Linked DNA regions of Oreochromis niloticus. The protein of the gene in region 3 purifies or fractionates together with the protein of the main gene of each other region. This does not show direct contact. Links are inferred from orthologs where the notes say so. Each region holds a gene or a part of one and is shown on either strand. Other genes may lie near its edges.

Region 1 (11,047 bases), on a different chromosome or scaffold from region 3:
ACTAGAATATTGAGGACCACTGAGAGAAGGTGGATGTTTTGATGTAGCTGATGAGGATCCACCTTTACTCTGTCCTGCATGTTCATCAATGTTCCATTCTGTGTTTTGGCGGATCTGTGTCTGGCCCCATCCTGTGTTAGACAGGACCCGAGGATCCAGATCAGAGCGATTTAGCAGGCTCTGTAAGGCAGCTTCTGCATTAACTGCCTGCCGACGTGGTCGGCTGCTATTAGGCGTGCCCCCACTTCTAGAATTTCCACCACTGGACGACGATCCACCCCGTCCTCCCTGTCCTCCTACAACCTCACCCCATTCTCCCGTTTCACCCTCTCCTTTCTGATTGTCCCAGGCTCTGGTAGTAGTAGTGGCTGTTGAGGAAGAGGAGGAAGCAGTGGGCGGGTTCCCCGCTGTGCTGCCTCCACTGCTGCTGCTGTTACTGCTGCAGGCTCCACTCATTCCCTCACCTCCTGGATTCGGTCCACCAACCCCACCAGAGTTCCCACCCCACTCACTACCAGAAATCCCTCTTTCACCACCATCTCCCGATAACCCCCACCCTCCCTGAGATACCCCAGAGGTTTGACTCATGTTGCCCCCATTTCCAGCACTACCCCAAACATTAACCCCACTTGTGGAACTTTGATAACCCCAACCTGAAGTCCCATTATCCCCTTCTGCAGCTCCAAATACCCCTGTGCAAGTTCCTCCACTCTCCCAACCATCAGTCCTTGAGGCACCCGTTTTGGAGTTAGCTGCAGGGTAAGAAGGCTGGCCTCTCCATGAGGAGACAAGGCTGTGCTCTTCACTCATCCCACTTCCTCCCGCACCATGGTCCATTCCTCCCCCTATCCCTTCTCCCCCCGCAATTTTTGGTCCCGCTGATTTACTGTCCCAATTCCCTCCACCCATTTCTCTGTCTCTGGATTGCATTTGGTGAAGTTGGTGCTGATGGGTGTTTGATTGATTCACAGATAAAGATGGGTGACCCCCCAGGACACCAGCTGCCCCCAGGGAAGCAGAGTTGTTGGCAGACCCGCCAGGGCCCTGATGGTGAAAGGAAGACTGACCTCCTTCACCTACAGCAGCGGGGCCATCCTGCTGCACCAGTGCAGGCCAGGCTGAAGGGTTGGCATTTGGATTGAAGTTGGCACCTGGAATCCCACTGCTGCCATCAACGGAGCCACTGGCATCATGGCTCCCTGGCACAGCGGGGGCTTTGGAAAGTGAGGAGGACTGTTGTAGCAGAGGCCCAGCTGCAGTTACTGCAATACCTCCTCCAAGATGACCCTGGGAGGCAGCCGTCACCCACGCTGAACTGCTGGACGACTGCATACATTCATTGGGCAAAGAGAACGAGGAAGTGGGTGAGGATTGGTTGCCAGAGGCACTAATGCTATTCACAGGCATTCCGTTGTTGCCGCTGCTCCCTCCATCACTGCCAGCAATACTAGGCCACTCCTCTAGGTCATTGCCATCAACAATCACCTTCTCCCTGCCCTGAGAGGAGGCCTGGCTGCCTGAGCTTGCCCCCCACATGGAATTTGCATAATTAGAAGTAGTAGTAGAAGCAGCAACTGATGATGAGGTGAGAGCCAATGAGGAGGCAGCTGTGCCGGAATCTATAAAAGCAAATCCCACAAAAGAGCAACTTTAGACTCTTCATCAGTCAAAAAAATATTAAATAATGCAGTAAATGACCTGTGCTTTGATAGAGCTTTTTAACGTTTGCGGATCAGACAGTGCTTTACAACAGCTGTTTCCACACATGCAGAGACACACCAGGTGGAGCTTCAAATGTTTACATTTGCTCCAAATGTTTGAGTCAGTCACATCAGACAGGAAACTATTCTGAGAATTCACAGTGAGGAAGCAGACATCTTCTCTGCTCTGTTCACACATGGCCAAGGTAGCACCCTTGACTAATAATATAAACAATATTGGTTTAATCAGCCATCTCCTGTTTTCTGCCATGTGAGAAAACCATCTAGATTATCCATTAACTTGATTTTCCTGACATTTCCCAGAATTAATGTGTGACAATAGCCTCTATTTCACAAACACATCACAGGTTGCAGGTCTTCAATGCTTGCCTGCCATCATGAGTAACTCCTTTTCAAAGGACTCTTTAGCAAGTAGACAGGAGACTCCAGACACCAAAACACCACCCTGTGATTAGTTGATAAACCCACTTTAATACTTATGAACAACAGCATCGTTAACACTTACCTGAAACAGCAGCCATGTTTGCATTGGGGCCATCTCCTCCCACCCCCCCTCCCAGCAGCATGGAGGACAGTGGCGGCTGACCCCTCTTCAGTAGCACTTTATGGTCCTGCTGGCAGCGGAATCGTGGCGGCACTTCTCTCGGCATGTAGCGCGGTGGCTGCTGAGGCGCCTGAGTTCCGCCTCCGCTACTTGCACTGCTGTTTCCAGCAACACTGGAGCCACCAGCGGTGGAGGAAGAACTGGTGGTGGAGGTGGGCTGTCCGTTGGCCACTGCCAGGCGCTTGGCATTGTTGCCGCCCTGTGACGGGGTGGCAGCACTGCCAGGGCCTGAGGTGGCTGGGGATGGGGAGGCAGAGGGGGTGGGTCCAGGGCTGGGGAGGCAGAGCTGCTCTGAGTAGCAGAAGACTGGGCAGAAGCTGGCTTGGTCAAGTCTGGCACTGCAAGAAGGGTAGGGAGGGGAGAGAAAGATTTGTTTAAACAGGTGCATTTTAAGAACGCAAAATGTATTTACTTCAAATGTAACCTCTAATCAAGTATTTGGCAGAAATGGATAGCAAACTGGACTATAAAACAAAGAAATCGATGGATGTGCTCTTTTTTAAAAATTAAAAAAAATGCATCAAGTGTTGTCCAACACATTACAAAGAGAAATAATAATGTCACTGTGATACCATCACAATCCTTTTAGACAAGAAAAACATTTAAAACTAAAGTGTCTAAAGATTAGCTCTGGAAAAAGGAGCAAACAACAAATATTTATATCAAACTCCATAAAAATACATCACTGTGCTGCTTACCTTTGTTTTTTTGCTCTGCAACCTAAAATGAAGAGAAGCAGAAAGTCATGTTAAAATTTAGTTTTTTTGTTTTTGGCTTTCTTCCTTTTTCCTTTCTTCCAGGCAAAGAAAGGAAACTGGTGTTTTTTTAATATTATGAAAGTCTTTCACTTTTCACATAATCTGTCAACATTTAGTTGACACAAAATTAATGTAACATCTAGGGACCTAAGGACAAGAGATTTAATTGTAACAAGTTCAACAGCTGCAGTGTTAACTGCAACTATAGCTCCAGGAAGCCCAAATTACCCAAGACCATGAATCAGGTATCTCGTCAAACAAAGTTAGATTGTATATATACTGAAAAAGCTGAAATGGCATAATGTAAGATCATTCCAAACTCAATCCAAACTAAATGCTGTTGTTGAATGTTGTTGAAACCACTGCCTTAATATGACAGTTCAAATGTGTCCACCTGAGATAAGAGAAAGCACTGAAGTCACTTTAATAGAACCATACAGATATCCATGCAGAACTGCCATTTTAAATGATATGAGTGAATGTGCATAAATTTTACTGCCAGCATACTGTGTCAAGATACAAACGTTCATTTTAATTTGAGTATATCTGCCCTAGAGGACATGGAATCTGGTAAGACAAACACACTCACCTTCTGAGAGGCTTCCCTTTTCCTTTTTTCGTCCTTTTTCCTTTTCTTGTCTTCCATGAACTACTGCTCCTGTCCTGATGCTCCTCTCTTCTGTAAAAAAATAGCGGGCTATTCAAAATTGTAATTACCTATCAACTATTTTAGAACAAGCAACAGTTTGTTTCTATATATTCTAGCTTTTTCCTGTAAACCAAATTTATTCCTCAAGGGAAAAAAGGAAAACATTTAATTCTGATTGCATATCAGACACAATCTCTGTCACTACACTTCCACTGGACAACTGGATAAACTGACCTTTAGGTTCTGTAGGTCCAATCAGTTTAGCTTGATTGACTGGACCTACATATCCAGAAACCCATACCAGATAAACTGAAAGTCTGAAATCTAGATTTGTTTTTCAGACAGAGTGCTGGCAGTTACAAATCCAGGATCATACTCTTTACTGGCTTTAAGTAAAAAATAAATAACTAAAAAATAAAATAAAATGAATTAAGAGATTTCAGCTACAGCAAAGAATGCATTGTCATTAGGATTCCCCATAGCACCTCTATGATCCCTAGGATGTCGGGGACAAACTAAACATTTTATTATTAGATTTTTCAGTTTGAAGATGGAACAGCTGAGCTATTCTACAATTTTTTAACGAAACGAACGGTTTATACTGTTTATTTAATAGGGTGATAGAAATGTCATTCATTTCTATTAGAGCGGAACCAGGGAAGCGCCCGCGAATGCGCAAAATGTAAATCATGTATGTATTACAATATGGCAATAACCGCAATATTAGCATGTCTGGCTTCATGTTAGCACATTAAAACACAAGTCGTCAGTTTTCTCCTTTTCTCCTCGTTTAAAGCAAAACCCAAGCAATCTGGTATGCTTCGGCTGCCTCGGTCTTGTGTTGGTTTCGTTTTTGCTTCGTGTCGTTAACACTTCCATAAAGCAGGATTACTACATTTGGGAAAAGCGACCTGACATTGTCCCTGAGGCATTTATGATCTCAGGCCTGAAGTATCAGAAAGCCAGACATCATCACGATGTTATTTCGATGTGTCAGATCTGCAGTATAGTAAACCCTATCCAGCAGCTCTACCAGCTTATGCTGACATACCTGTCAACGTTATTCCAAGCTCACCAGCATTAGGCAGCAAACGCCACAGCACAAAAAGGTCTGAGCTTTGAGCTTAAATGGAAAGGCGTGTTCAAAAACTGAAGACACGGGTGAATAAATCCGCTTTAGCTGAAATAGTCAGACACATTCATCCTTGCCCCTTCAGGTTTACACAAGCTGCAAGTTCAACAGCTGCTGCTAATAAAATATTTCGTCGAGGCTAACGTTAAGGAGGGGTTCAGCCTAAAATACGTGGACACGAAGCATAGCAGGCATTAACGAGTTCAAACCAACCTAAGTTCAGTAACTGCTCTATCAAGTGAACACAGCGGTCTTGCACAGCAAACACATAAGAGGGCCAAATACCCAGCTCAGCTAACGCAGTGCCAAAAATACGGCTAAAACGGCGCTAATGCTACCGAACATTAGCCAGATAAGCTAAGGTAGCATTACCCAGTGACAGCAGCAACTACAAGTAGCCAGGTTAATGGCGCTAGCTTGGTTTGCAAGCGCCGTGGCATGGCATTTCAGTAAGATGCAGCCCGCTCGCATGCATTCAAACAACGACACAGTGCAAAGCCGAGAAATGTAAAAAATTCACCCACTTACCTCGGGAATCACATATGAAGATACGCTAGCGTGCTAGCTAGCTTAGCTAAAGTGCTTCAGTGCGAATTTTTTTCTAGCTTTTTGAGGCATTCGTCGAGGCTACAAGAACAGCGACGCCTGAGCGGAGAATCAAGTAAAATGGCAGAAAATGAAAATATACGCGTAATAACGTACTGGTTCGTGAGCACTACCGTTATAATAGTGTAAACCCTAATGTGCAGAAGAATTTAAATTCAAAGCGCTGTGGAGTCAGTCGGGTGACGGGCGGCCATTTTGCTGCTCAGCATGAAGCGTCTCCAATGACCAGCCTGTAGCAGCTGCGTGGAAGCCCTCTGACTGGCTGGCTTCTGCCTGAAGAGATGCATAAAACACGCTATTTGACCTCCATAAACTTCTGACAGTCAAACTTAACATTCAACTTATTGCTTATTTCGTAAGGGCTGCTTTCAACTTTCTCTTCGTAGCATGAGTCAGAGAAAAAGGGGAACGAGGAAAAGGAAAAACGAGGATGCCTCCGCAGGAGAAAAGGAGGGCGAGGACACTGAGGAAAGAGGAGACAGGAGGAAGAACCGCGCAACAAAGAAGTACATTGGAGCTCATGTTGGCATTCAAGGTAGGGCCTAATGTCGTCTTCTTTGACACCATTTGAGATAAGCACGCTTACTCACACTTCTGTGACGTCACGTCCATAGGTGGGATATGGAAAGCCGTGGAGTCCTGTATGGAGATGGGTGGCAGCAGTTTCGCCCTGTTCCTGGGGTCCCAGCGATCGTGGAAGAGGCCTGCATTGGACCATACAGCTGCAGCAAAGTTTCAGGAGCTGTGTTCCCAACAGGGGTTTGACCCAGCTCATATCTTGCCTCATGGCTCCTACCTGATGAACTGTGGATCTCCTAAAGAGGGTCCGTCAGACACTGATTATTGTCTTTCATGCCCAGTTATCGCTTATTATTCTTTTCAGAATTATTCTCTGTTTTGGTCTAACTTGCGTACCATATTTTCAACTAGATGTGTTTGAAAAGAGCCAGGCCCTGCTGGTGGACGAGCTCAGCCGCTGCAACCTGCTGGGTCTCAGCCTCTATAACTTCCACCCCGGCTCCTCCCTGGGTACCATCACCACTGAGCAGTGTGTGGACAAGATTGCGAGCGCCATCAATTATGCTCACCAGGAAACCCCATCAGTGGTTACAGGTACGGAGGGCCGCCAGAGTACCTGAAACAACCAGCAGTGTGTAGCTACCTTCCAGTCATTGCCTTTTTGATGAAACCCATATGCAGAGACATTGCCAGAGGTATTAATAAAACTCACAGACTCTATGTAAACGATGGACATAGGTTCCCAGTCTGAAAAGTGAAGCCAGTGCATTCTTTATAATAACCAACAGGGGGCAGCAACTCTGGTTGCAGAAATTGTGGTTTTATGAATAAGACAACTGAAAATTCCAAGTTCCCAGTTGCAAATTTTTTGTGAAATGCCCCTTCAGCTCTGATTTCCCACTTGGAAAATTGGAGCAGACCAACATGCCCCGAGTTAGCAATCCAAGATGGTGGCACTGAACATGAAAGCAATAAAACTATAAACGTTTAATCTGTACTGCCACTGTTGTGTATTTTTGACTCGTTAAATGAGCCATATGCAGAGCACTGATCAGGCTAAAGAAAAGTAAGTATTAGCCATTATTGTCAGTGATACTCGAATGGCTCCACCTGGCTAAGAACCAAAACAAATCCTGTTTTTCACGGCTTTTTCCAGAACATGCTAACTTGGGATTGACACACTCCAGAGATCCGATATCCGAGTACGCAGTTATCTGGAACGTGGCAAAAGTCTGTGGAAGAATGACTCTCTGACTCTGATCTCTGACCTCAGCAGACACTTTACCAATGAGTTTATAGCTGAAGTCTTATTTAAATACAGCATGAAACTCATATTATAGAAAATGCATATAAAGGAGCACAAAATGGGGGGCGCTGGAGCCTATCCCAGCTGTCATAGGGCGAGAGGCGGGGTACGCCCTGGACAGGTCGCCAGTCTGTCGCAGGGCTAACACACAGGGACAGAAATAATAAAGGATAAGCGGAAGCGAATGGATGGATGGATGGATGGATGGAGCACAAAATGGGGTAGACCTTAGTGTGGGCCTGTTTTGTGATTGGCAAGTAACTACCATATAAACTTGCTCATCTGGTTTTCAAAACAGAAAGAATCCAACAGCAGAAAAGCTCAGCCAGAGGTTTCATAACAAGACTTTACTAATTAATGACGCCATGCTGACTGTATCCATCTTTTATAAACCATATGTGATAAAGCACTTCTTTATTGTATTTGGTTCTAAATCCTGTGCTGTCCAGCAGAGGACTATAAATCATTACCTTAAAGGTCAGTAGCTGCTCTGGCATACTGTAAACCAATTGGCAGTGCATGTCAATCTTACTAAATGTCCTATCCTCCCCGTTTCTAAAAAATGAGTTTCTAAGCCAAAGTACAAAAGGGAGATAAACAATGTAGCAAAGAACCAGTTGTCAAAAACTCAGTGATTTATGCCTTAATACACAAAAAGTGCTCCATCAAACCTGTGTGGGTGGGCAGGGAAAGGCACATGCAAGTTTTTGTGTACACTCCATTTATACATCTGGTCTCTGGTGCATACATATTGCCGAAAGGCTTGACTAAACAGATATGCCTTTAGCAGACTTTTTAAAAGGAATCTACTGAATCTGCAAACCTTTAGAGTGGAGGCAGCACATTCCACACCAGCAAAGCCTAAAAAACGTGATCACCCAGAGGACTGTTTGTGGTGGCGCTTGTAGAGTAGAGGTAGTAGTCAGGTCAGGGTTTTTCTAACACAAGAATCCCTACACAAAATATAAGTTCATGTTGTTAAGCTTTCTATTACTGGACTAAATCCCTTTACATGTAGTTATTATATACGCTCAGTAAAACCTTTATTAGGAAATCCATGCTATTATGGGGATGGACCCACTTTTGCCTTTAAAACTGCCCTTAAGTTTTTGTAGCACAGTTTCATCAAGGTGCTGGAAACGTTATGGTCTATATTGACATGATAGCATCACACAGTTGCTGCAGATTTGTCAGAGTCACATGGGAATCTCTTGTTTTACCACATCCCAAAGGTGCTCTATTGGATTGAGATCTGGTGACTATGAATGCCATTTGAGTACAGTACCACCAATGGAAAAATCCAGACCTTACCATCCAAACTCATCAGACCAACCAATGTTTCTCCACTCTTCTGTTGTCCACTTTTGGTGAGCTGATGTTAACCGTAGCCTCAATTTACTATTCTTAGCTCAGAGGAGTGGGACCCATTCTGGTCTTCTGCTGCTGTAGCCAGAGATGCTCTTCTGCATATCTTGGTTGAAACAAGTGGTTATTTAAATTACCTTTGCATTTCTATCATCTCAGAGCAGTCTTACCATTTTCCTCTGACCTCTGGCATCAACAAGGAATTGACGCCCAATTGATAGCAGTCCAAAAAAGAGAAACTATCTGTAAACCATAGAAGCGGGAAAATCCCAGAAAATCAGCAGTTTCTAAAATAATCATCTGGCTCCCACCAACCATGCCACATTCCAGGTCACTTAAATCACTTTTTTTTTGTTTTGTTTTTTTTTTTATTCCCCCTTTCCGATGCTCAGTTTGAATTTCAACAGGCGGTCTTGGCCATGACAATGTGCTCAAATGCATTGAGTTGCTGCCATGTGATTGGTAACGTAACTATCTAATTAATCAATCAATTGAACACTCAAATCTAATGAAGTTCCTGTTGACTGGATTTTGATGCCTATCAAGAGAAATGATGTTTGCATGGCACGTCTGTTAAATAAAAAGCCATTTGATCTTTGCCTGACATTTTAATGTTAACAAAAGTTTGTTGATACAAATACCAGTGCAACTTTCAGTGGTTAGCACTGTCACTTCCCATCAAGAAAGTCTGGGGTTCGACCCTGCTGAGTGACTCTCCAGGTTTCTCCCACAGTACAAAGGTATGATTGTTATGTTAGCTGTTGTACGTTTGATAGGTTTAGATGTGAGCGTAGGTAGCACGTTGTGATGGACACAACCAAGAGTGTACCTCGGCCTTTACTTGCTGACACCTGGGATATACGCTACAGCAGAATACAACAGCAAAAGCCACGTTCAGACTCTGTTTGAAGAGGTAACGACAGAGAAATATTACAAATGTATGAGTGTGTCAAATTAAAAGCCTTTTTTTTTTTCCTCCTTTTTTTTTTCCTCCTTTTTTTTTTTTTTTTTTTCTTTCTGTCTCTCTCTCTGGGCTTTCTGCGTGGTCAGTGTTGGAGAACATGAGTGGCCAAGGCAGTACGGTGGGCGGCAAGTTTTGTGAGCTAAAGAGCATCATAGACAGAGTGAGAGACCAGACCAGGGTAGGAGTCTGTCTGGATACCTGCCATGCATTTGCAGCAGGTGAGTGAAACCTGATAGCAGCCTGTGGCGTTAACCTCAAATTTGCTTTCTGTCCAACAGGGCTGTGATACCTTAAAATATTCAACCTGGCATAAGACCTGAGGGAGTTTCTTTCTGTGCTCAATTGTTGTTTTATGTCTCATCTTGGGAGGATACGACCTCGCTGCAGAGGGAGGTGTGAAGGCCATGCTGGATGAGTTTGACCAAGAAGTGGGGCTCCAATACCTCAAGGCCATTCATCTTAATGACTCCAAAGGTATAGCCAGGGCATAGAGACAGAAAAATCACACATGCAAGTCTCTAGTTGTCTTTCCTTATTCTTTCTGTGTAACCTGAAGGTAAACTTGGCTGTAACCTGGATCGGCATGAAGATATCGGCAAAGGTCACATTGGAATCTCTGCATTTCGAGAAATTGTCAATGAGCCCAGACTGGACAACATCCCTCTGATCCTGGAGACACCCGGACGGTGAGATGGTTGTCTGTTGTATATGGTAATGTATTTATTAATTTCCAAAACAGGAGCTGCTAGCTCATCCTGTTTTCAGGTTCCTCTTTAACATGGCTGCTATGTTCTTCCCCACAGGCCTGGATTTGAATACACTGAGCAGATTGACCTTCTCTATTCCCTGTGTGAGAAAAAGTGAGAAAAGCACTACTGATGAGTCGGCACTGATAAACTGAACTCTGCAAACACACTGTTAGCCGTGAAGAGAAGTGTTGTTTTTGTTTTTTGTCTAGTACCAAAGTGGAGGAGTGACCTATTGTGATATCTCTAAACACGGTCATATTATTAGTCGTTCACCACATGAACAGTTTCTCCAAATTACAAACCTCATCTTTGAATACGAGTTTAATAAAGGTGATTTTGGAAGTTTTTATATGGCGTGGGGAGGAGTCTTGTTCCGAATGAGCCTTTAGGGGGCAGCAGAAACACACAAATGTAAACCAAACCTAATGAGACTTTGGTTTCAAAGGATGCAGGTAGAATAAGTGTGAGGAAATGGTTTGCACATTTGTATTGTTTTTTTTATCTTTAAGCAAAAAGAATTTAAAAAATTGCTGATAAGTGCAACAAACTCAATTAAATGGAGAAAACATAAATTATTGATCCAAAGGTAAATAAACATTTTTGCATTACATATTTCCAGTGGCAACACAAACACAGACATAGAGATAGAATGATAACTATACCTCATCTCTGAA
Region 2 (11,072 bases), on a different chromosome or scaffold from region 3:
TTCTTTCTGTTTTGTTTGGTTTTTTTTAAGCTGCAACTCTCCACTAGAGGCCATCAAACATGATGCCAGCGACTGGAAAAAGCACAATTTCACCGACAGAAAAGTCCTGTAATAGTTGAATGAAACCCTCTGTGCTCCTATCTTCTAGAGGCCAGTTGATCAGCGGCAAACTGTAAGGAGTCAAAGGGCCCACTCACTGTCTGTGTGTATGTGTTTGTGTGATAATGTGCCTGAGTCCTTGTGCAAAGGCACAGAATTGTTGACAGTTTTTTGGAGCAGCTCACCGACCTCTCACCCCCAGATATCATCGGTGTTTCCCCCACAATGCTCCACTTATTCTTTTCTTTCTCGTACAAAGTTCACTTAACAGCAAACCGCTTATGAATGATGTGCTTTTTTCTTGATTACGTGATCACGCACAGTAGCTTAGAGCAGCTTGAGACTTTCTGCTACTTTAAACACAGTACCATAATGCTTGGGTTTTGTTGTTTTCCTTTACTCTGGAAGGGACTAACAGACTATGTGATTGATGAAATAAACAACATACATATTTATCTCTGCCAGACTTTTCAGATTAGATCCTGCACTATATTGTCAAAAATATCCACTCGTCAGCCTTTACAAACATATGACCTTGAGTGACATCACATTCTTAATCTATAGAGTTTATTATGTCGCCCAGCGGATGCAGATATAAGTTCCACAAGGTTTATGAGTGTTTATGGGAATTTTTGACCTTCTTCCAGAAGCACATTTGTGAGGTCAGACACTGATGTTGGATGAGAAACCCCGGGTCACAGTCTCCAGTCTAATTCATCCCAAAGGTGTTCTGTTGGGTTGAGGTCAGGACTCTGTGCAGGCCAGTCAAGTTCTTCCACACCAAACTTGCTCATTCATGTCTTTGTGGACTGGACTTTGTGCACTGGTGTGCAGTCATGTTGGAACAGGAAGGGACCATCCCCAAACTGTTTACACAAAGTTGGGACCATGAAATTGTCTAAAATGTCTTGGTATGCTGAAGCATTGGGAGTTCATTTCACTGAAACTAAGCAGCAAAACCCAACTCCTGAATAATAACCCCACACCGTAATCGTCCCTCCACCAAACCTTACACTTGGTGGAGTACCGTTCTCTGGGCAAACCCTGACTCGTCCATCATATTGCCAGATGGAGAAGTGCGATTCTTCAATTCAGAGAACACGTCTCCACTGCTCTACAGTCCAGTGGCAGCATGCTTTACATCATCCAATGCAAAGTATCCAATGCTTTGCATTGCCCTTGATGATGTAAGGCTTGGGTGCAGCTGCTCAACCATGGAAACCCATTCCATGAAGCTCTCTACACACTTTTCTTGAGCTAATCTGAAAGTCACATGAAGTGTGAGGGCACTATGCCTCAGCCGAGGCACATAGTGCCAAGCATCCGATGACCTCGCTACATGGCCTACCTGTCACAGTCTGCGCTGGCAGACCGTGTGGAAAGAGGAGGAGACACTTGGAGCAAAAATATAATTTAACAAAAGGCGAACCGTTTATTTTTGGCTGGGGAAAATGCACAAAACAAAAGGCACACTAAGGCAAAACTAACTAGAACTAAACTGGGAGAAACTAAATGCTAAACACATGAGACAAATAACATAAAACCTTGAACATGATAAAACCTGAACATGAAAAACCTGGAAACATGGAGGCATGGAAACATAACATGAACTCAACAGACAACCTGACAAAGAATAAATGAAAACTCACAGACTATATACAGACAGGAGGTGATCAGGGGAAGTGTAAACACACAGGGAAATAGCTGATACAAATCAAGATGACGCCACAGGGAAGCAAAACAAAACACAATGAACATGGAGCACAAGATTGTCAAAATAAAACAGGAAGCTCGAGGACTAAGACACACAGACTTGACATGGTGATAGTTAAGGAGAAGATGAGACGGGGAGCGAGGAAACACGAAAGAGAGGGAGCGAGAACAAAAGGGACACGATGGGAGACAAAGGGAGACAAAGACATCACTGAGACACAGAAAGGGCGAGGGAGACTTGACAGACTCGTGCACTGAAGACACGACACCCTAACCCACATAATGGGGAAGACACAGACATGGGAGGAACCTAGACAGACAAGAACTAAATAAGGAAACAGAACTCAATATCAGCAGAACTCACTGAAGCCTAAACTATACAAACAACACAAGAACATCATAATACAAAAAGGCATGAAACTCAAAATGCTGGGTCAAAAGACTCAGTCCAGGACACTACCACTTAAAATCCCTTCCACTTTGTTATAGAGCTCCTGAGAGCGACCCATTCATTCACTGATGTTTGCAGAAGCAGTCTGCATGCCTAGGTGCATGGGTTTATACACCTGTGGCCATGGAAGTGATTTGAACACCTGAATTCAATGATTTGGATGGATGAACAAATACTTTCGGCATTTAAGTTTATAAAACCTATACGTTTATGCATTGGGTGTTTGGGGAGGGGCCACAGGGCGAAAGGCAGGGTACACCCTTGGCAGGCTCCCAGTCTATTGCAGGGCTAATACAGAGAGAAGGCTCGCATTCACACCTACAGACAATTTAGTCATCAATTAACCAATTAACCTAACAAAGTTGAATGACTGTAAATATAAGAAATTACTTGTAGCCACCAGTGGTACGCCTCAGCCTTCTAGTAGACACACCTAAGGTTTCAATTCGAAGCTGCTACAGGGTGACAACAATAGCCCATCACCCATTTACAGCTGAGAGGTAAAAAAACACTTCTTTGTATGAGCAGCTTGCCTGTATCAGGAATATCCCACACTCTTACTCCGTGTTTGCCCCATCCAACCTTGAAAGATAGGAAACTTGCTTCCTCACGCCTTAAAAAACCCCATCTGTAGGTCAACATGATGTCCTTGTTGTTTTACTACTGTGCACAAAATATTTATAATCTGTGTACCATTTCAGATACATGCCATGTATTTATTAAATGAAAGTCACTTTTTTTAAAGTTAAAACTGACCATTTACCTCATTTTCAGTCACATATAGACGAGTTCAGTGACTATGTTCAAATTAAACATGGCACGTGTTTCAAATAATGAGGAATCCCTGTTTCCACAGGTCTTTTCTACTTGGAGGTTATATCTATAATATGATCCACAAAGGCACACAGCATGAAGCAAAGGAGTCAGTTTTGTCTGTATGTTTGACTAATTGTCTGAGTGCTGCAGTAATGATGTTTAATTCAAATATTATGTTAAATAAATGTTATGTTATCGGGCCACAAGTTGTACTGAAAGGAGGTGTTTTATGTTTCTTATGATGTTGTAAGCTGCTTCTGCTCGTGTTTGTGCTGTTGTTGACCCCTTGGTTCAGCCTCTGCTGCAGAGAACACAGAAGTTATACATTCAAAGTTGCAGTGATGCGTAAACAAACAATTTTTTTACATCTTTGATTATTTTTTGGTGCGTCTTCCTCTTTCTGCTGAACTCCGCTGACGTTCCCTTTCCTGCTTAAGCTGACACTTCAACCAATAAGCATTCTTCCTGCACAGTGTCATCGCTGTGGGTCTACACACTGTTAGTTTTTTGGATTCTGCGAAATCACTCTGCAAAGATGAAGACTTATCCAAAGTCTGTTTTAAAGGTAGGGTGGCTATAACAGCTTGGTTTCCCACATGTAAAGGATCTAAGATGGAAGTTATGGAGTTGCAAATGAGCACAATATAGCAGGGATACATTCAGAGCCTTAAAACAATATTAAAACTAAAATAAAACTCAACAAAGACCCTGAACATTTTGCTTGGCAATTCATTTAAAACAGCAAATACCAGGAAAATCCTCACACTGCAGACGTAATGAAGTATTACGAGAATTATAACATCACTGCTTTCCTTTCACGCTGACTGCAAAGAGTGAATGTTTCACTTTTTTGCTTCATCTTTGCTTCGCTTTGTTTCTAAAAACTATTTATTTGCATTTCTCTGCTCTGTTGATTAGTAAAGACTCGGGCTTAATTACGTGAAAGTGTAGGCTGGCAGCGGGTCCTCTGCTCAATAGGCACATGCGTGTAACGCCACAAACAAGTGTTTACAGCTGCCGCTGAACCAAAACAAGCCAATCTGCATACACCAACACACACACACACGGGTAGGCACAGCCTGGTCTTCATCCGGCAGTGCTGGCACGGCGCCCTGAGACGTCGGCACTCCTCACGGGCACAAAGGAGGGCAGGAAGCGCAGACGAAAGACAGAAAGAAACAAAGAAAAACAGCCAAAACAAAAAGAAAAGAAGCGCAGCAGACGGCGGGACGACGGAGAACTCAAGACTGCTGAGAAATAAATTTGAAAAAAAAAAAAGGCGCGTACCTCGGCTCTGATCCACGCCACGCTGGGAGAGGAGGAGCAGGATGTTGCTCTTGATTGCTACAGGGTCCACCTGTCTGTCTGTCTGGCTGTCCTTCTGCCTGCCTGGAGCGTTGTCTGTGTGTCTGCCTGGCATCAGCACCTCTCTGTCTGTCTCATGTCTCATTTTTTATGAGCCTTTATGCGCCGGTCACTTTCCTTTTTTCCTTACATCTTAGTCTGCCACCCACTTTTTTGCTGCATCTGTGTGAATACTTGTGCGTCTGTCTTTTTGTCTCTCTCACCATGCTGCTCTGTTTTTGTCTTTCTCACTGTCTGATGTGTCTCTCTGTGCATATGTCAGTGCGTCTGCTTTCTTCATGCACAGATGCAGTCTTACACCCCCATCTTTGCATCTTTATATTTAGCGGTTAAAAAGATCCACTGAAGTTTGAGGGTTAATAAATGCAAACACAGATGTTGCACACATGACAGCAGCCATCTTGGAGGTCATGCAGCAGCACACAACAAGCCAACAGAAGAGGACGTCTTCTGTTATGAAAGTATTTCAGATTATCGACTGTCCTCGGGTGTCCTTGCATCCCTCCATCAGAGGCTTGGACTCAAGCCAAGTCGGGCACCCCCTACCCACACCCACACCATCTCCACTGTTCAATCCCAGCATGCCTTGGCACAACACTGGGTGATTACTCTCACAGCGGTAAAACAGAAGAGATGGAAAGAAAGACAGAGAGCCTGGATCTCTGCCATGTCTTTCCTTGTAGTGAGCTAATGAAGCAAGAAATGCTTGGATAGACTTCAACCATCAACACACACACACACACACGCACATACGGTGAGCACAACAGCCCACGCCAGCATAGACATCAGGCATATTGAGCATGTCTTTCATATTTGTTCTAACAAGAAAACCCAACATGGCGGACAACCACCAACCTGTCCAAACAGCGACTTCGTTAGCACGTCTTTGTTCTCCGTGAAACTGTGTTTGGCTCCTGCTTTGATTCAAGTGCTTTTTTAAGGGTTGCAGGAAGTAAAGTTGGGGGAAAAAATGTATTTATTGTGTTCAGTGTGAGCATCTCTACCTGGTAATGTAGGCAAAGTAGACAGATGAGTGGAGGAGAAGCGAGTCTCTGGTCAGCTGGCTGAGATGTTGGCTGCTTTGAACTGGAGCGGAGAGACGGCAACATGCAACGGTGCAAAGACAAAGAGCTCAGAGGTGGTGTTACAGTGTCCTATTCCAGAGATAATGTCCACATTTCAGGTTTAATAGCAAATGATCATTCATCGTGACAGCCTTGATAAATGTTTTCAGAACTGAAGTCCTGAGTCACCCTTCAAATGAACAGTAGGTTTAGTGATTTATTGAAACATGCAAAAATCACATTTAAATATAGTATATAAGAAAAAAAAAAGCAGAGTTTGGTACGACCACCTTTATTCTTCAACACAGCCTGAGCTCTCTTAGTCAACCTTCTTCTAATTTTTTTAAGTAATCTTCAGGAATTTATGTTAAATAAATGAGTGAAAAATGAGCCATTGTCCAAAGCAAAACTTTCAGAAAGCTGGAGAACTATTGCTCAAGACTGCACTTAAAAAATAAGAAAGTCTAGCTCCTTAGAAACTAAATATAAGGAAATAAGAGGTGGCTCAAGAATTTTGCACAGTACTGCTCAAGTGCAGAGCAACTATTTGATTTTCAGATAACGTTACAAGCACTAGAACATTCGGACGGAGGTGCCAGGTTGCACACCAAAGAGAAAGACATCTGGAAAACATGTTACTCAAAAGCTTTACTTAACCAGGAGGAGTCGCTCTTGAGAAGACCGTCCTGGACGGAGACCAGCAGGGCAATTATTTTTTCCCTGCGTTTTAATAACTTGCTCATAACTTTTCATTTTCTGCATAAGTGCTGCAGATAATGCTCCACACAACCGTCAGCAATTAGCACAAATCTTTCTGACCTAAATGCACATTGGCCAACCTGCAGCTCAGGGGTGTCAAATATGCAGCCTGGGAGCCATAACATGCCCACCAATTTGTCTAACCCGACCCATGTGACCCATTGTAATGTGTGAAACATTTCTACAGGAGGGGAAATGTCCGAGCATTTCTAACTGAGACTAGTTGTTTGAATCATAAAGACATGAAATACCAGATGTTTAGTTACAAAAGATCTACATGTGAAATGTTTGTACCTTTCAAATGTGGTTTGATGGTCAATTAATTTAGATTTAAAAAAAAAAGTTGATTCAAAATGTACTTGAAAGTGCTCTTGAAATATATCCATCACCTGTTTTCTTACTCGATCACTGAACAAGAAATAATGATTTTATTTGTCTGGCAAATTTTTAAGGTAATAGGAGACAGGATTGGGTTTTTTTATTTTGCAGAAGTTGTTACGAGCCCCTTTAAACATTATTACTTGTACAAAATAGGTTGTATGTGGCCCAAGAACTAAAACAATGTTTTCCACCCCTGAGCTAGAGAAAACAAACAAGTCACCTTAGTACTCCTACAACTTAAGGAGTTGCAGAAATATGAGCCTTTAAATTTAATTTGCATTGAAAAGAGCCACCATGCTCCACTAGTTTCTAGTTTTGCAACAGTCTAAGCCCTGGATCTGACAGTGGTAGTGCTACACTGACTGATATGACAAAACAAGGACAGACCAACTTCCCCTCAAACTCTTAACTAAAAAAGGAAGAAAACAGAGTCTCCTGTACTGGCAGATAATTAAAGAGAAATATGGCTGCCTACATACAGCTGTTCTTAAGACTCCAATGTGACTCACTTTTAAACAGCTAAACAAACTCCAAGCAAAAATAACAGACCACCAAAGCTTTGTACAGATTCTTTACTTTGACAGATTCACTCAGTTAATTCACAGGGACTGTTTAAGCGGAGGATTTAAACCATAAATCAGCCTACCTGCCCCGTGCTCCAGCCTTTAGTCACCTGACCGCCTTTAGCGGCTGAAATAATGGATACTCAACATACTCAGCCCGCCAGAAGTAATAAAAGGAATAATAATAATAATATATTAAATAGACACGTTTGACTGTGATAGAAGAGAAAACTTTATTCAGAATATTTTAAAGTAAGGACGAGTAATATCAGTTTGGCTATTTTAGCATGCTAGCGTGCTCACAGTGATAGTAACAGCTTAGCCTGTTGTGTTAGCAGCCAAGGCCGCAGGGTGGAAACGTTAACTAGTTAGGACAGAGCATATTAGAGAACTGGGGATACAATGCAGATAGTTAAACAAATAAACAAATTAAAATAAGATACGCTATACAAATATTTAAATTAGCCTAAGTCTTGTCTGATAAACACCACTTAAATATAAAGGTTGGTAGATCAATTCAAATATAGATACAGAAGCGCAGTATGTACTGAATTGTGTTGATTGGCATGTCTGTTTTATTTTTTTTTATAGCCTATGCACATTTAAACAACAGAAATTGACCCAAAGTGCACAATTACACTCCAGGTCTCCGACAAATCTATTTTCAAAATACACGAAAAGCTGAAAAGTGTGTTTTGTTGTATTATTAATAGTATTGTCTTATTTATTCTTGTGGAAAGTATAAATCATAATCATTTCATGGTCATTAAAATGTGTTCAGAAGTGATGATTATTCATCATCTCATAAATCATGACACACTGCTCTTCCCTTCATAAGCTGCCTTTATGGGTTAAAAGAAACAATAACAATATTGGCATCAGCAATATCGGCCTTATATTTAATTGGTATACGATCAATGCCAAAACGTTAAATATTGCACAGCACCATCACCGTATAGGTCTGTAAAAACATTAAGCATTATTTTTCAGGATCATGATCTTCTATTTTGTCCTTCTGCTCCACTATGTTTTAGACGCAAATATTGTACTTTGTACTCTGTATTTTTTTCATAGCTTCATTTATTTATTTTGCTCTAGCTTGATAGTGTAGTGTTTTACACCAAGACTATTGTAGTTTAGTGAATATAAACTAAAGTCTGAAACGAAAAAAAAACTCTTTAGATAACTAAAATAAAAATAGAAACTAGACTTTTCAAAAATATTAAAACTAACTGAAATTGTTTTATTAACTTGGAAAACAATCTGAAATAAAAAAAAAATACAGAGGAAATGTTAGTTTTAGTATTTGTTTGGTAAACGTTATTACAACCTGCATGATGAGGCTTTGATGGATGTGCTGAGATTTTGGATTGTTACAAGACTAAACTATTTTCAAAAAGTTTTTATTCTAACGATTGTGCTCATTTTCCCAAATCTTGTCTCTCACATATGCTCTTCATGTAATATTATTCTAAAAAACAAAACAAAAACTAAAGCAAACACTGAAACTAATAAAACTAAAAAAAAATTCAAATGATCAAGAGTAAACTGAATTATGAAAATTCATTCTGAATAAAATTAGACTGAATAAAACACAAAAACTCAAATTGAAATCTCAATCCCTGAAAGAGACAAAATTCCTTTGGGTTGTTTCAGGAAGTGCATTCAGGGTTCAGCCAAATCAGGATGTCAATGCATAACTCTGAAAAGTGACATCCCACATAATGTTTACTGTATCTACTTTAAATATATTTTACATCGAGTATACAACCCTTGTGCTATTCAGCTATTTAAGCAGGATTATAAAATTGAGGAATTGGCCTGCAGGATTTTCAGAACAGTACATAAATAGCTGCTGTTTATTATATATTGGTGGTAGCTGGATCTATTGTAATAGAATTTATCTGCAAAAATAATCAGACTTTAAGGTAAAGATGCAACAGAAAGTCAAATCCAAAGTGCAGTGAAGTAGATGTACTGTATATTAAACCTGCAGTTACCACTTGTCCTCACTTGTAGAATCAGCAGACATCCAGACAGAAACACAAGATTTTAGATTTTTTTAAATTATTATTTATTTCCCTCAAAACAGGAAAAACTAAACTTGCCTCTACTAAATCATTCATCTATCCAGTAGTTTTTAGATTAAACATAAAAAAAATTAATAAATAAACAAAATACAACACAGAGGTTAAATCCTAAATATTCACAGAAGGCTGTGCATTTTAAATGATTACAATCTTTTTCTCAGTAATCCAAACGCACCCCTGTGCGAGGCAAGGCAAATTATCGACTGACTATTCAAAATGTAAGATTTCCATCCATAGCAGATTCATGTGAATCGTAACTGCTGGCAGTCCTGAGCAAGTTGTAAACAAGTGCAAAAATCCTTCAAGTCAAAATAATTCAAGAGCGTTAAGCTTCGCCCTGTGATTTCAGTCACATTCATTTCTTTTTTTTGAATTTTGTATAAAGTGCCGTTTCTTCACAATTTTATACGAGGATTGCGAATGCTATAAATGAATTATGAAGATCTTAACGTGATACAAAACGTATCCTGGAGCAAAAATTAAACAAAAGTAACAACAAAAAACAAAATCCAGGCACCTGTTGGTCAGAGAAAAAACATCATTCAAGTAAATTTAACTTTATTTTTAGAGTCGAGGTGACACATCCGAGTGGGGATCAGTGGTTTTCCTTTCGTTTCCACCTGTCGGCCCCCTCTCCTCCGCTCTCCTCTTCTGCGCCCTCTCTGCTGTTCTTGGACTTCTTGTGTGTGTGTTTCTTCAGCTCTCTGTCCTGCGGCTGCTCCAGGGTCGCCTGCCTTTTCTCTTTTTTCTGCCTTTTTTGTTTCCTCTCCTTCTCTGTCCTCTTGTCGTCTTTGCTGTTCCCCTGGCTCGCTGACGAGCCGACGCTGCTGCTTCGGCTGCTGAGCATCTCCCCTTCCTCCAGATCCCTCCCTCCCCCGAACCAGCCTTCTTCTCCATCCACTTTATAATCAGCCTCATGCTCCCACCAGGCACCTCCACCCTGCACAGCCATCATGCCTCGATTTTCTCTCCCCTCTATGCCTTCTTTGACTAATTTCTCAGCCTTGTTTGGTTTCCACTCTTCTTTTCCAGCTTTGCTCTGCATTAACCCCAAATGAGGGGATTCTCTTTGAGAGTATCCAGGAGATTCAAAGGGGAGCAGGTCTCTGCCTTTACCCCGGCTGTGGGAGTGGTGTGTCCCTGGAGCTCTGTCTTTATTTCGATCACTCCCTGATGAATCTTGGTGGTTACTGTGGTAGTGGCTGTAGTCTTTATCTTTGTATCTGAGATTCAGTGATGGCTCTCTGTGTGTTTTCTGTGCATCTTCATCAGGCAGGACGGGTTCTCTGCTTATCGTGCTGCTTTCCCTGTTTCTGGCACTGGTGAATTTCCCGCTGGGACAGGATGAACTCTTGTTGCTACCCTGGCTGCCCCCGTATTGCAGATCTGTCCTATCTGCATCGTGTGATGTTGAGAAGGAGTAAAACTGAGAGGAGGTGGGGAGATAGGCAGTGCGTTTTCGCTCTTTGTCCCCGTCTCTCCCGCTTCCTTCCTCTCTTGTTTGTTCTTTTGACCTTTTCCTCTCTTGTTGCCTCTCCCTCTCTCTGTTCCTCTGCCTGTCCATCTCTCTCCTCGTCTCCTTGCCTGCATTTGCAGATGTGGTGCTTACAGCTCTGTCTTTGCCACTAGAGGGAGCCACACTTCTGTGTGACCAGGAGCAAGGAGAATCTCTCGCTTTCTCCCTGCGCCTCTCTCCCCGCTGTTCCTCGTCACCCTCTACTTTGTTGGTCACTGGCGGTTGAGGCAGAGTCAAAGAAACACGGTCAGTGTG
Region 3 (11,208 bases):
AGTATTGACATGATGCACAGCAACTTTGAGGGCTTCCTCTTCCACCAAAAACAGAGCTGTGTCTATATTTAGCCTCCTCAGCTGCTACATTACTACGCTTAGAAATGTGTCTCGATGTGAAATGCTTGAAGTCATCCTTCCTCCACAACCGCTCTTCTCTCCACTAACCCTATTTAGCCCCCCCCCCCACTTGACCCAACATGAACTTTAAATTGTCAAATATGAAAAGCACCCAGCACGAGATAAAAACTGATAGTTTTGTCTGACCAACTGTCTAAAGCTCAGCTCTTTTCCAAGTACTTGTAATCCAATAACTAACGACTTATAGCAAATCTGAGTAACTGTTGACTTTGCTGCCACAGGCAACCAAAAATAAAGATCTACTTTTAAAATTAAACATAAATTAGTAAGTTTGTATTGGATGACACTCCAGGCCACTGAACATTAAACAAAACTTAAGCCACACGTGTGGATAAGACGTTTCAATTTAAAGAACTTCTGAGTAAACATGGTCTTGTTTTTTGTGAATGTCACAAGCTCATTCTCAGTTACGGCACTTTCAACTGCTCCTTTATTCACAAGGGGTCGCCACAGTGGGCAGCTCCAAATGTTTGATTTGGCAGTTTTTACACCAGACGCCCTTCCTGATACAACCCCAAAGGGATCCGTCTTTCCTCCTAGGATCAAACTAGGGGATCTCTCTCTTGTCTGGCAAATATGTAAACCACTACACTGTGGAGCTACGAGGCACAGTTTCAGTAAAAAATATCAATATTTAATACAGAGCCTACATATTTTAGCAAACCTGTCAGCTGCACTAACACAAGACAGCAGTGACAACCTGCACAGGTCTTTTAATTCATTTTTTCAACCAGAACATCAATGAAGTACTTAAACACTGCTGAATATCATATAAACAGCAGCTCTCACATTTACAGCGAGCTTCCTCCATAATTTGTGCTTCTGCTCCAAATGAGACAGAGCTGCATCTACTTTGAGTCACAGAGGAAGTGAAATTAACTTTTTCCCCCCTTACACAGAAAATGACAGATGCTCTACAGAAAAACAAGCCTTCCTTTTCCTTATGAGCCTTTTCGAAGCTTAAATCCAAACTGACCATAAACATGGTACAAAGATTTCCGCCTGCCTATCTTACTATAACACCCCACCCCCCACTCTTCACTGATCTAATTTAGACAAACCATTAGATCGTGTGCAGTGTACTCACACTTTCTGAGTAGGGTTTCCTACTAATGCACTGTAGAGCCTACTAATGCTATGCGTGTCCCTGGTAACCACAGTGGAGCATAGACAGCTGGGCTTAAAGCTAAGCACGAGGATGATGGCTTGGCCCAGCGATGAGTCAGAGACTAAGAGCACCGAACAGGGAGTACACTGACGCCCACACCTGAAAATCACCCGGATTAAGGTACTACGCCGGACAGGAGAAAGAGGAGATACATTAAGAAAAGCTTAGTGACCATTCACAATGTAGAAATATCCACACATCAGTGTAGAGATGTGCAGAAGCTATAAGACGAGCTGATTTAGATGATTTTAAATGCAACACAGGATGTCTTGCTGACCATGTTTACCATTATGAATTAATGCATTTTCCAAATGGGAGCACAGCCCATCTTATACTTCAAAATTACTACACTTCTTCCCAGTTTCACTCAGTGTCCTCCAGGCTTTTGTCTTTTCACTCATCTCTGCATATTCATCATGCTGTGTGACTCCACCACAATTTCGAGACAACAACAACCCAATTCTGAATTCTGTCACTGAATAGGCCACTCACTGCTGCATTTCACACCTCTAAGAACAGACAGTTGACCGTCTGCTTTACATCTTTCCTGTGTTTGAAGAAATCCCCACCACTGTACAAGAGTATTGCTGAAGCACGACTAAACAGGAGACAGCAGACACACAGAATGGGCTACAAGTCATTACTGTAACTAATTTAGAAGACTTAAAAACTGCAATTAAGGCCATCACAATATTAAAGCTTTGTGTTTATTTTGGTCATAAAGAAAAGAATGATATTAAGCGTGTATAGAAATTTTGAAAAAGACAGCAATTATGCCAAAGTATTAGGTTATTTGGGTGCTCTCTCCAATATTATGTTGTCTTTACCTTATAATGTTAAGTATCTTAAGGTGACATAGCTCAAACACAACTAAATAGAACTGCCAAGAGTCTAACTTATTTCTAATCCATTCAGATTTACAGTTACTTCAACATAATCACCATTATGCATTCACTATTCACACCTGCACCATGACCAGTTCGCATTATATTAATATTATCATTAATAATTCAATATTAATAAGATTCAGCATTGCCTTTGAAAAGGGCAACAAAGCTTTACAAACATCCCAAAAAGAGAAATTCTAGAGCAGTGTTCACAGATCATATTTATATTTATCACAAAAATCTCATTGTTACGTCTGCATCTATGAATGTGTAAACAAAGGCTTTGATAGAAAATCTCAATTCACACTCCACAACCTAAACACTTGCTGTAGCAAGGTACAGACAGCAGGTACAATAAGCAATCACTAATGTATAATAAAAAACGCTGATTACTCATTATTTCATTTCATTTCATTATGTGCAACAATGATCCAAACACACCCCTGTAGGATAGACAGGCTGTATTGTCCCCAATAATCCTGGACCCTCACAGCTTCTTGCATCCATTTAACAATTTCTGCAGGAGCACATTTCCTGCTTAAATAACACATCTAGTGCTTCCTAATGCCACCACCTTTCTTCTGTTGCTTGCGGGGGAAATGTTTGGTCATTTAGAAAGTCAAAAAAATAAATAAATAATAATAAACCATGTCAATGCTGTTGCATGAAGACTGGTTTTTTCTGTTGCAAGATGCTTCGTTTATGAAAAGGCGCGTTTCCCACACACACACAAAAAAAAGAACACAATGTCTCCAGTGGGGGGGAAAAAATATGACCTAAACATATTTTGCAGCTTTGTGACAATAACACTGCATATTGGACTGCTGACCGCACAGGTGCATGATTTGACTTCCCACTGCATGCCTTTATTGCATCAAAATACGTGCCTTTGTTATCATATAGGAGACTATAATGGAGCTGGCCTGCAGATCTGATCGATAAGAGCGCCATCCATCCCTGCTGTGCTCTCACGGGCGCATGGCTGCTGCCCAAGGAGAGGCGCGCAAACCAATGACCACCTCACATTAAAAAAAACACAAAATCACCACATCTGCCGAGTAAACATGTGTTTTGTTGGCATTCATTTTGTCTTCCCAACCCATCGCTGTCATCTTGGACGGGCGGGGAGGGGGGTGTAAGAGACGAGCTTGCCTGCTCCTGATGGCGATGGTGCAGGCAGATTTATATGATTTAACTGAGAGGGGGATTTGGCAAAAACACGTTATATCCCGCCGTATTTCGACGCAAACGCGCGGTCCCCTTGAAGAAATCGGGTCGTAAACGCGTGAAACGCCGAATAAACACAGCGAGAACCAAACAACGTAAACACAGCACGACGCGGAAGGAAGGAGGAAGGAAGGTCCCAGTTAAATCCCCACTCACACAATGCCAGCCCCGACACGACGAGTAGAGCGTGCCTGACATAAATATAACCCTCGGACACGGCGGGAGACTGGATAAAAACAACCCCCTCCGGTACTAACAGGAAAAAGAGCCCCCCTGGTTCGATGTAAATAACGTACTACGAGTACGTACACAAACACGGGCTTGGGCCTCGGCTTGTTTTCCCGTCACAGCGAGGCCTCGCTGCAGCCGCGGCCCCCAGTGAAGCGACGCATTTGCGCACACGCGCCCCACACACGGCTCGCGCTCCCAGCTCCTCGCTCCGCTCTCGCTTTCTTAAAAATCCTTACCGGGTCCGAGCGCTTCCATGGCCGAGGCCTCTCTCTCCGTCTCTGTCCCGGCCTGGCGGCTCCGTACCGACGCTGAAATTGGGGGCGGTATCTCGAAGCTTGAAAGTGGCTAAATTTAAGAAACGGGAGTATAGATAGACGCGTGGACGACTGCTGACTGGGCTGACCTGAACTGAGCTACCGCTGCCGCTGCTGCTCGTTCTGAGGATTTGGATATGCGCATGCGTCGGTTACAAGTGGCGAAAATCCACCGTAGGATACCGCGGAGATGCAAGCAGTTGCTTTTGCTGGTTATACTCTAAATTTCTTTGTTTGTGATTGAAAATTAAATACAGGCTAAACAATATAGCCTCAATAAGTATAATAACATTTTTTACACTGTACAAATTACCCTTGTATTCATTCATTTTTCTATTATATCTCCAATTCATTTTCTCATTCATTCGACGCGTGAACGTCTCCAGTGTGGGATTTTAAAAGTCCATTTCTGTCTGTAACCACAGTATATACCAAATATTTGTTACACCAAATAACAAATATCAAAGTTTCTTAATGCTTAATTAATTGTGCTGTGATACATCAAACCATTTAAAACAAATCTTGTATAAGTTTTTTTGTTTTGTTTTTTCAAACTGAGAAGCTTTTTGAAGTGATACTTTCCAAGCAAGCCACACATGCCCTGTTTTATTTTACCTGAATAAAGCAGAATAAAAGGCAGTAGCTTTTCGTCCGTTTGTGTTTTTGTAATTTACTTGGATTATATAATAAGAAATCTTTTACCTACCTACTTTTTTGAGGGGGGGTTAAGACCCCCAAACATGTTACTGTTCTAGTTTAAGATTTCAATTTGAATGTTTTTCCTTTGAAGATTTAGTTGGGACTTGTAGAAACATGGTCACAAAATAAAGATAAAGAGAAACTCAAGGCAAGATATAAAATCTGAGCATACGTACCTCTTCTAAATCCAAACCGGTCTTCATACCTCCTCCCTTTTCCGTTGCCTTGCTTTGGTAGCACATAACGCTCCAGGAACCGCCTTAAAATATAACCGTATTTTTTCTGCAACAACTCCCAGTTCATGGTTTCTGCTGCCATGACGCTGTAATTAGTTGATACGCTCAATAACAGCCCCACACGATTCTCGCTACGTGGTACCAGCTCCTTGCCCTTAGTCATTACTATTGTTGCTACTCCACCTCCTCCAGTAGGATACCTCCACACTGAAAAAAAAACCCCTGCGCCCTGCACCCCTGCTTCATATATACCTTTTTTCACCTGGACACGCATGCGCAGTTGGCTTAAATAGTCACATCTGAAAGTTCTAAAAAACTTGGTTTCAATAAAACTGAAACAATATTATAATGATAAAATGCTGTTAAAAATGATGTAAATTGGAAATAAAAACCTAATGGCCAAGTATGTGCATTCAAGGAGTAGGACTCCAGTTTGGTTCTTGCTCTGTGTGCAATGGTTCAGAGTGCAAGATGTTGACATAAATTCACTTACTGGTAAGTACATTTGGAGTGGAACATTGTGTTAGTGTCAGTTGCTGATTGATGATTACGAATTATCTGTTTAGCTATATAGTAGAGCTGAAAAAACTGATTAAAAAATCAATGTCGCTTGTTGATTAACCTGGAGTATCAGCCTTTGGGTGGGGATGTGAGTGGGGGGGGGTCAGTTTCGGGGTTAGAGAAGAAACTCGTCACAGTTATTGTTCGGTCTAACAAATGAAACCGTGGGACACTGCTAAAAATCCGAATGTTTCATTTAACCGTGTGATAGACACCACTGACAAAACTGTATTAAGCAGCACAAACCTGGAAAAAATACTAATTAAGAGAAGTCAGGGTTATGCTATTAATTTTGAGAAACAGACAACTCATAGATATGTAATTTGCATCATTAATTGGATTAATTAGTATCAACAAAGCGCTGGCTTTAAGACTTGATTGAGGAATACTGGGTTTGTAAGTAGAATTGCACAGAAAAATCTGTGTAGATGGACAGAAATGTGGAGAAATGTAATGGTTTTGAAATGTCAGGGTAGAAGTTCTGTAAAGAACAAATAAGCGATAAATGATTGAATAAAGGATATCACTCCATTATGCAATGCCATTTTCCTTGCAACGGGACAATAGAATAGCTGTAAAACGGTGCATTTCCAATAACTGTGCTTTATGATTAATTAGCATGTCAATAAGTGTTAAAGTTGTTATGATATTTGGAATTTTTTTCCTTTCTGTTTCTTCTCCAGCAACAATCCCCACTCGCCGGAGAGGTCCCGGGGTTTAAACAAACGCTTTTGCAATGCAGCGTAGTTAAATTAGGCGGGACATCTGCGCCAAACAGACCAATAGGAAATCGAGAACACTGCGATTGACGTTCCGGTGGCGAAAAACTGCGGGCCAGCTGTCGCGGCGCGCGAAACATCAAAATTTCTATTCGGTGTGTATGGAACAGGCGGGAGGAAGATAACTTTTCCGGCTAAACGCTAACTAAATGTCAATTAAAACACAGAAGCAGCGCTGGTCGCTTTGACGGTAACTTGTCCACGTTTTTTGTGGGTGACACGAGACTACGAGGTGCCGTCTGAGCCGGTTTATTTTGCAAAAAAAGAACGTAAACTAGCCAGCGGACAAAGATGAGCTTGGTGCTTTCTCAACAACAGGTCAGGCAATGCTTTGGTTTGTCAGTGATTATCTTGAACCTCTGCCTAACTTTTCTAGACTTGCATATATCACTCTGTTTCATCGGGTAGGTTTTTTTGGTGGAGATTGGCAAGATCGAAAGAAATATGCTAACTGCACATTTTGTTAGCCACCTAGCTTCCTGGCTAGGTTAGGTTTAGCTCAGCTCTTTTGGAAAGTGGTAACTGGCTTGGGCCTTTTAAAGCGTGTCAATTTGACATTTTAATTTTAAATCCTTTTATTAAAGTAAGACCTAGGGGACTCACGGACAGCCTTATCTGTTGCCTGAATGGTGATAATTAGAAACGTTGAAAGGCAGACATGCTGCTCATTGTTTGGTTTACTTCAAGGCGCCAGTCCTGTCAACGAACAACAGTTTCGCTGCCCAAAGTGACAAAAGTGACACCCATCCTCTGTGTTAACACCCTCTCCTCTGTGTTTTTGTCAAATGCAGAAACATGCTATACTGTGGTACTTTGTTTTAATGAGCTATGCAGCAATTTGGGTTGCCTTCCATTCGAAATGAATTCCTAGTGTTACTAGATTTAACAAAAGCAGTCTCACACAACATGAATCTCAATCAAGTAACCTAAACTGAACTTCTACCCCTGCCCCAGATGAACTGTTTTTCAGTTGATACTTAACCTCAAGTTTTTTTCCACTAAGTACCTTTTACTCGCCCCATGCAGCAACAATTCATGTGTATTATGTGCTACTGTATGCAGGGTGAGGGACTTCCAGTTGTGGCCCAGACTGCAACAGAGAGTGATTCAGACAGCGGTGTGGGCTCACCAGCAGAGGAGATGGCTACAGACACCTCTAACAAAAGAGAAGGTCGTCCAGGTAAAGCAGCATAACAATGAGCCACTCTGGCTGTGTAAATGAGGTATGCATTTATGCAACTGCCTGTGACACCAGAGTAGGCAGAGAAACACTAGTTACCATAACGAGCCAGTCTGACCAAAGATTCAAAGCTGCAGTTCTTGAGAAAATATACATTCAAAGGTTATAAATGAAAAGCAAACCAGTATCTAAAAGATGTCCAGTTTCCAAAGGACCACATTTGTTTGAAAAACAATAAAGGCAAAGAGTAACATATCAGTCCAAGGGAAATTCTGTAGGAAATAGTATAAATACTTTAATAATGAAGTATTTCAGTCTCCCTGGACTTATATTTGTTTTGTCTGAGGTTTCTTCAGAAGGGTTTATATCAAGGTTTTCTGCATATATTGTCCTGCATATAAGAACTCTTGGTGCTCACTGAAGATGTTTTTTTCCCTTCTACCAAAGAAATTTCATCAGGGCTGTGACATAGAGCAAAAAAACTTTTCTAAGATTCAAGTTGTCGATTTCTAAAGGTAACTTGAAAACGAATTAAACTGTTTATGTAGTAAAAACTCCATCATTTTGCCTCCAAACCACTCCCTGAGGACATATGTCCTCTTTGACTTCTGCTTTTTCTCCTGCCTGGAAGCTCCATTTTCTCCCTTTTTTATTTTTTGACCAATATGTCCAGTATCCCACTTCACATGTCCAAACCACATTAAGTTTGCTTAATGTGTTTAATTTATTTATTTATTGGTAAAACAAATATATGCATTAGAATAAAATTCTACTTGAATTTATTTTTCTCACTGTTTAGTGCAAACTCTAGTATTTTGTTTCATTACACATTGATATGAGCTGGGATTACCACTCTACCATTTCCATTCTACTCTACTTCATTCTAACTTTCTAAATTGGTTGGTTTTTCTGTCTTATTTATCAGATTCTGATGACGATGAAGACATCATGGTGCACAGAAAGCCTCACCGTAATGCCATTAGAGACAGTGACAGCGAGGAAGAGGCGGCAGCTGCAGATAGCAGTGTACACATGGCAGAAGCACTAGTTTTATCTGCTTCCAGCGGAGAGGAAATGGAGACTGAAAAGGTAGACGAGAAGGACAAGAAGAAGGAAAAGGGACGGCAGAAATGCAAGAGAATAAGCCGAGCTCCTGTTGATAGCGAGGACAGTGAGCCTGAGGAGGAGAAGAGTGGAAAAATGGAGGAGGAAGAGGGGAAAGTGGTGAAGAGGCAAGTGAAATCTGCAAAAGAAGTGAAGGAAAGAGAGAAGAGCAAGAGACATCGTGAGAAAAAGGAAAAGCGCTGCAAAGCGGTGGAAAAGCTGAAGAAGAAGGAGAGGTTCTCTGAAAGGGATGAGGTGAGTGCTTTAGTGTCTGAACTCTTTTTGGCTGGATACATCAAGGGTTCTTCTCATAACATCTTTTTTTAAAACACACATGGGCACTAATACGTCCTGTGGACTGTCTCAGCCTGGCCTGTTACATATTATAAAAAATAATAAAATCAATAAAAGTTAGAATTATGTTTTTGAAGCACAAAGTGAATGATTGTCAGCAAAGTGCACTACGCTTCACGTAGGTGAAGGAAGATTTTATGTCAAGTATGTTACATGTTAAAAGCTTATATACTATTTAAGTAGATTTTCTTTTTTAAATGTAATCTTGTGGCCTTTCTATTACTTTATTTAAGTCAGTGTGACCAGAAAAAAGACAAAGATGGCTCACTCACAAATCCTCAAATAATTGTGTTAAATGTGTTGTCAAAATTAGTTTTTCAAACATTATTTTATCTCAAAATTGGAAACCTTTGTTTTTGTTTTGTTTTTTTAAATGTCCCAGTCAGATGATGCTTTTCAGTGCATGTCCAACTGCAAGGTCAAGTAAACAGATCTGCTTCTGGAAGAACTTTGTTGTTAGGAAGAAAGAAAAAAAAAGACACTTCCTACCACATCAGTGTAATGATCAAACTACTGTTGTGGAAGCATTTGTGTTTTGGTTCCCCGAGCACTACAACAAGGACTAAACTACAGATCAAACTGAACAAAGTTTTTAAATTTAGATCTTGTGTGTTGTGCTAAATGTTGAAGCCATAAAAAACAAGATACAATTTGGATAATGTGTATGCAACTAAAAGCAGCTTTACTCCCATTTCCTCAGGAAATGCCTCATCCTGGGACCCTGAATGACAGTGGATGTCCGCTGGGAGACACAGAACTTTTTGACAATGGTCTGGATGATGAGGAAGAAGAGTCTCTGGATGCGATCCGTGCTGCGGTCAAGCAAAAGATGAAAAAACATAAGGTGGAAAAACATCAAGTAGTTTAAAAGAGGGGCTCTCCACCCATTTTCCATCACTATAAAAGATAAACATTTGGAATTGGTAACATTTATGTTTGGCCTTTGACTTATTTCCTTAAGAAAAATTAAAACAGCTGTTGTATTTATGTCAGTGACTTGAGTTAAATTTAAATCCTTCAATTTTATTGTAACACTTTGGTTTAATGTTGTGGTGAGAAGAGTTGGACCATGTTGGACATTGTGTCCTTTTGTTTCTATGTTGCTACAGGATCCCCTCTCAAATGAGGAGGAGGATGAAGAGGTGCCAGAGAAGCCCCAGCGTGCGGTATGCACCATCAAAAAAATAAATAAATAATTACTTTAAATTGTAAGCAGTTTGTCATTGCCACTATGTGACTCTTTCAGGAGAGAAAGGCTGCACGTGCCAGCAAAGAGGCGATGAAGCAGCTCCACAGTGAGTCTCAGAGGCTGGTCAGAGGTCAGTTGATAAGACACGTTTATTTACCCTATAAAGTTTTATTGTGGGCAATAATTTGAATAGAGCATGGCATTTTAGTATTCTTTCCATACCTGCAAACACTCCTGGTTTTTTGTTTTTTTTTCCCCGTACTTTAAAATCTTCTCATGGTGCCCACCCATCTTGCTGTTTCTCCTGTGTATTTACACTGCACTTTATTATAAATAACTGAAGTAGATGCATCTTTAAGGTTTTAGTTTATGCTTTCACAAGTTGCCAGATCATTTATGAAGCCTGCTCTTGCAATCCAATATTCCAAATCAAAACCTCGTTCGAAGGGTGTGTATCCAGCTAGTTTCATTTAAAGAAAATGAAATGAATTTCACCATCTGATGTTGGAAAATTTCTCACTTATTCAAGCCCCTAAAATCAATAACAAGTGAAAATGTTGTAAATATTCTCTGTGGAGAATATTGCATAGATGTTGACAGGTGTAATTTAATGACTTATCTGCTACTTAAACTGCATTCTTCTGCCTTTTTAGAGTCTTCACTTGGCCTGCCCTACCACATCCCTGAGCCCAAGACCATCGACCAGTTCTTTAAGAAGAGAGCAAGGCCAGAGGGTTCTGCCATGGCATTGTTGAAGTAAATACTAACATGACACTTAACACATTTGAGGTCAGACACGAGTCATGTAAGGATAGCCGCTGGACCTCCCCATTTCACACAAGTGCAAATTTAAGTAACTGTACTTTAATTCTGTTAAAGTAAAATGTTTTCATTTAAAAATCTTTCTGCTTTCAGATCTGCAAAGTACTCAGAAATGATGTTGGAGACGCCGTCAGCTCCTCCACCTTCTGTAAACCCACCCAGCAAACTGCCATCCACTGAGGAGGACTGTAATTCTTCTCTGGATATCTCGTCCAATCAAATCCAGCCTTTACTTCAGCCAGCAGCTACCTCATCCCCGCAAAAGCAGAACCTCAACCAGGCCGGAGAAACTTCGGTTACCTCGGATCCTGAGCAG

What was found. The genes of interacting proteins can lie anywhere in the genome.
Region 1: the proteins of ago4 (region 3) and tnrc6ba purify together in Homo sapiens (co-immunoprecipitation; 3 studies listed by BioGRID and IntAct, with this or other methods). This does not show direct contact. The link is inferred for Oreochromis niloticus from reciprocal best matches to the Homo sapiens genes AGO4 and TNRC6B.
Region 2: the proteins of ago4 (region 3) and trinucleotide repeat-containing gene 6A protein purify together in Homo sapiens (co-immunoprecipitation; 4 studies listed by BioGRID and IntAct, with this or other methods). This does not show direct contact. The link is inferred for Oreochromis niloticus from reciprocal best matches to the Homo sapiens genes AGO4 and TNRC6A.

What each region holds. Positions count from the first base shown.
Region 1 is NC_031973.2:22,677,175-22,688,221, reverse strand, and holds the start of tnrc6ba (trinucleotide repeat-containing gene 6B protein), read right to left. Parts: upstream 5,531-11,047; 5' UTR 5,393-5,530; intron 4,852-5,392; exon of another isoform or gene 4,784-4,851; intron 3,763-4,783; 5' UTR 3,673-3,762; intron 3,046-3,672; 5' UTR 3,024-3,045; intron 2,664-3,023; 5' UTR 2,372-2,663; coding exon 2,227-2,371; intron 1,620-2,226; coding exon 1-1,619. Other genes in the region: uncharacterized protein si:ch211-141o9.10, read left to right, coding at 5,858-6,005, 6,085-6,294, 6,401-6,583, 9,711-9,842, 9,994-10,098, 10,181-10,310, 10,428-10,488.
Region 2 is NC_031969.2:12,147,443-12,158,514, forward strand, and holds the start of trinucleotide repeat-containing gene 6A protein, read right to left. Parts: upstream 5,531-11,072; 5' UTR 5,449-5,530; intron 1-5,448. Other genes in the region: E3 ubiquitin-protein ligase RBBP6, read right to left, coding at 9,897-11,072.
Region 3 is NC_031985.2:14,061,231-14,072,438, reverse strand, and holds the start of ago4 (protein argonaute-4), read right to left. Parts: upstream 5,113-11,208; 5' UTR 5,067-5,112; coding exon 4,844-5,066; intron 4,093-4,843; exon of another isoform or gene 3,910-4,092; coding exon of another isoform or gene 3,891-3,909; intron 1-3,890. Other genes in the region: clspn (claspin), read left to right, coding at 6,535-6,561, 7,306-7,423, 8,349-8,782, 9,582-9,725, 9,991-10,047, 10,128-10,200, 10,724-10,826, 10,986-11,208.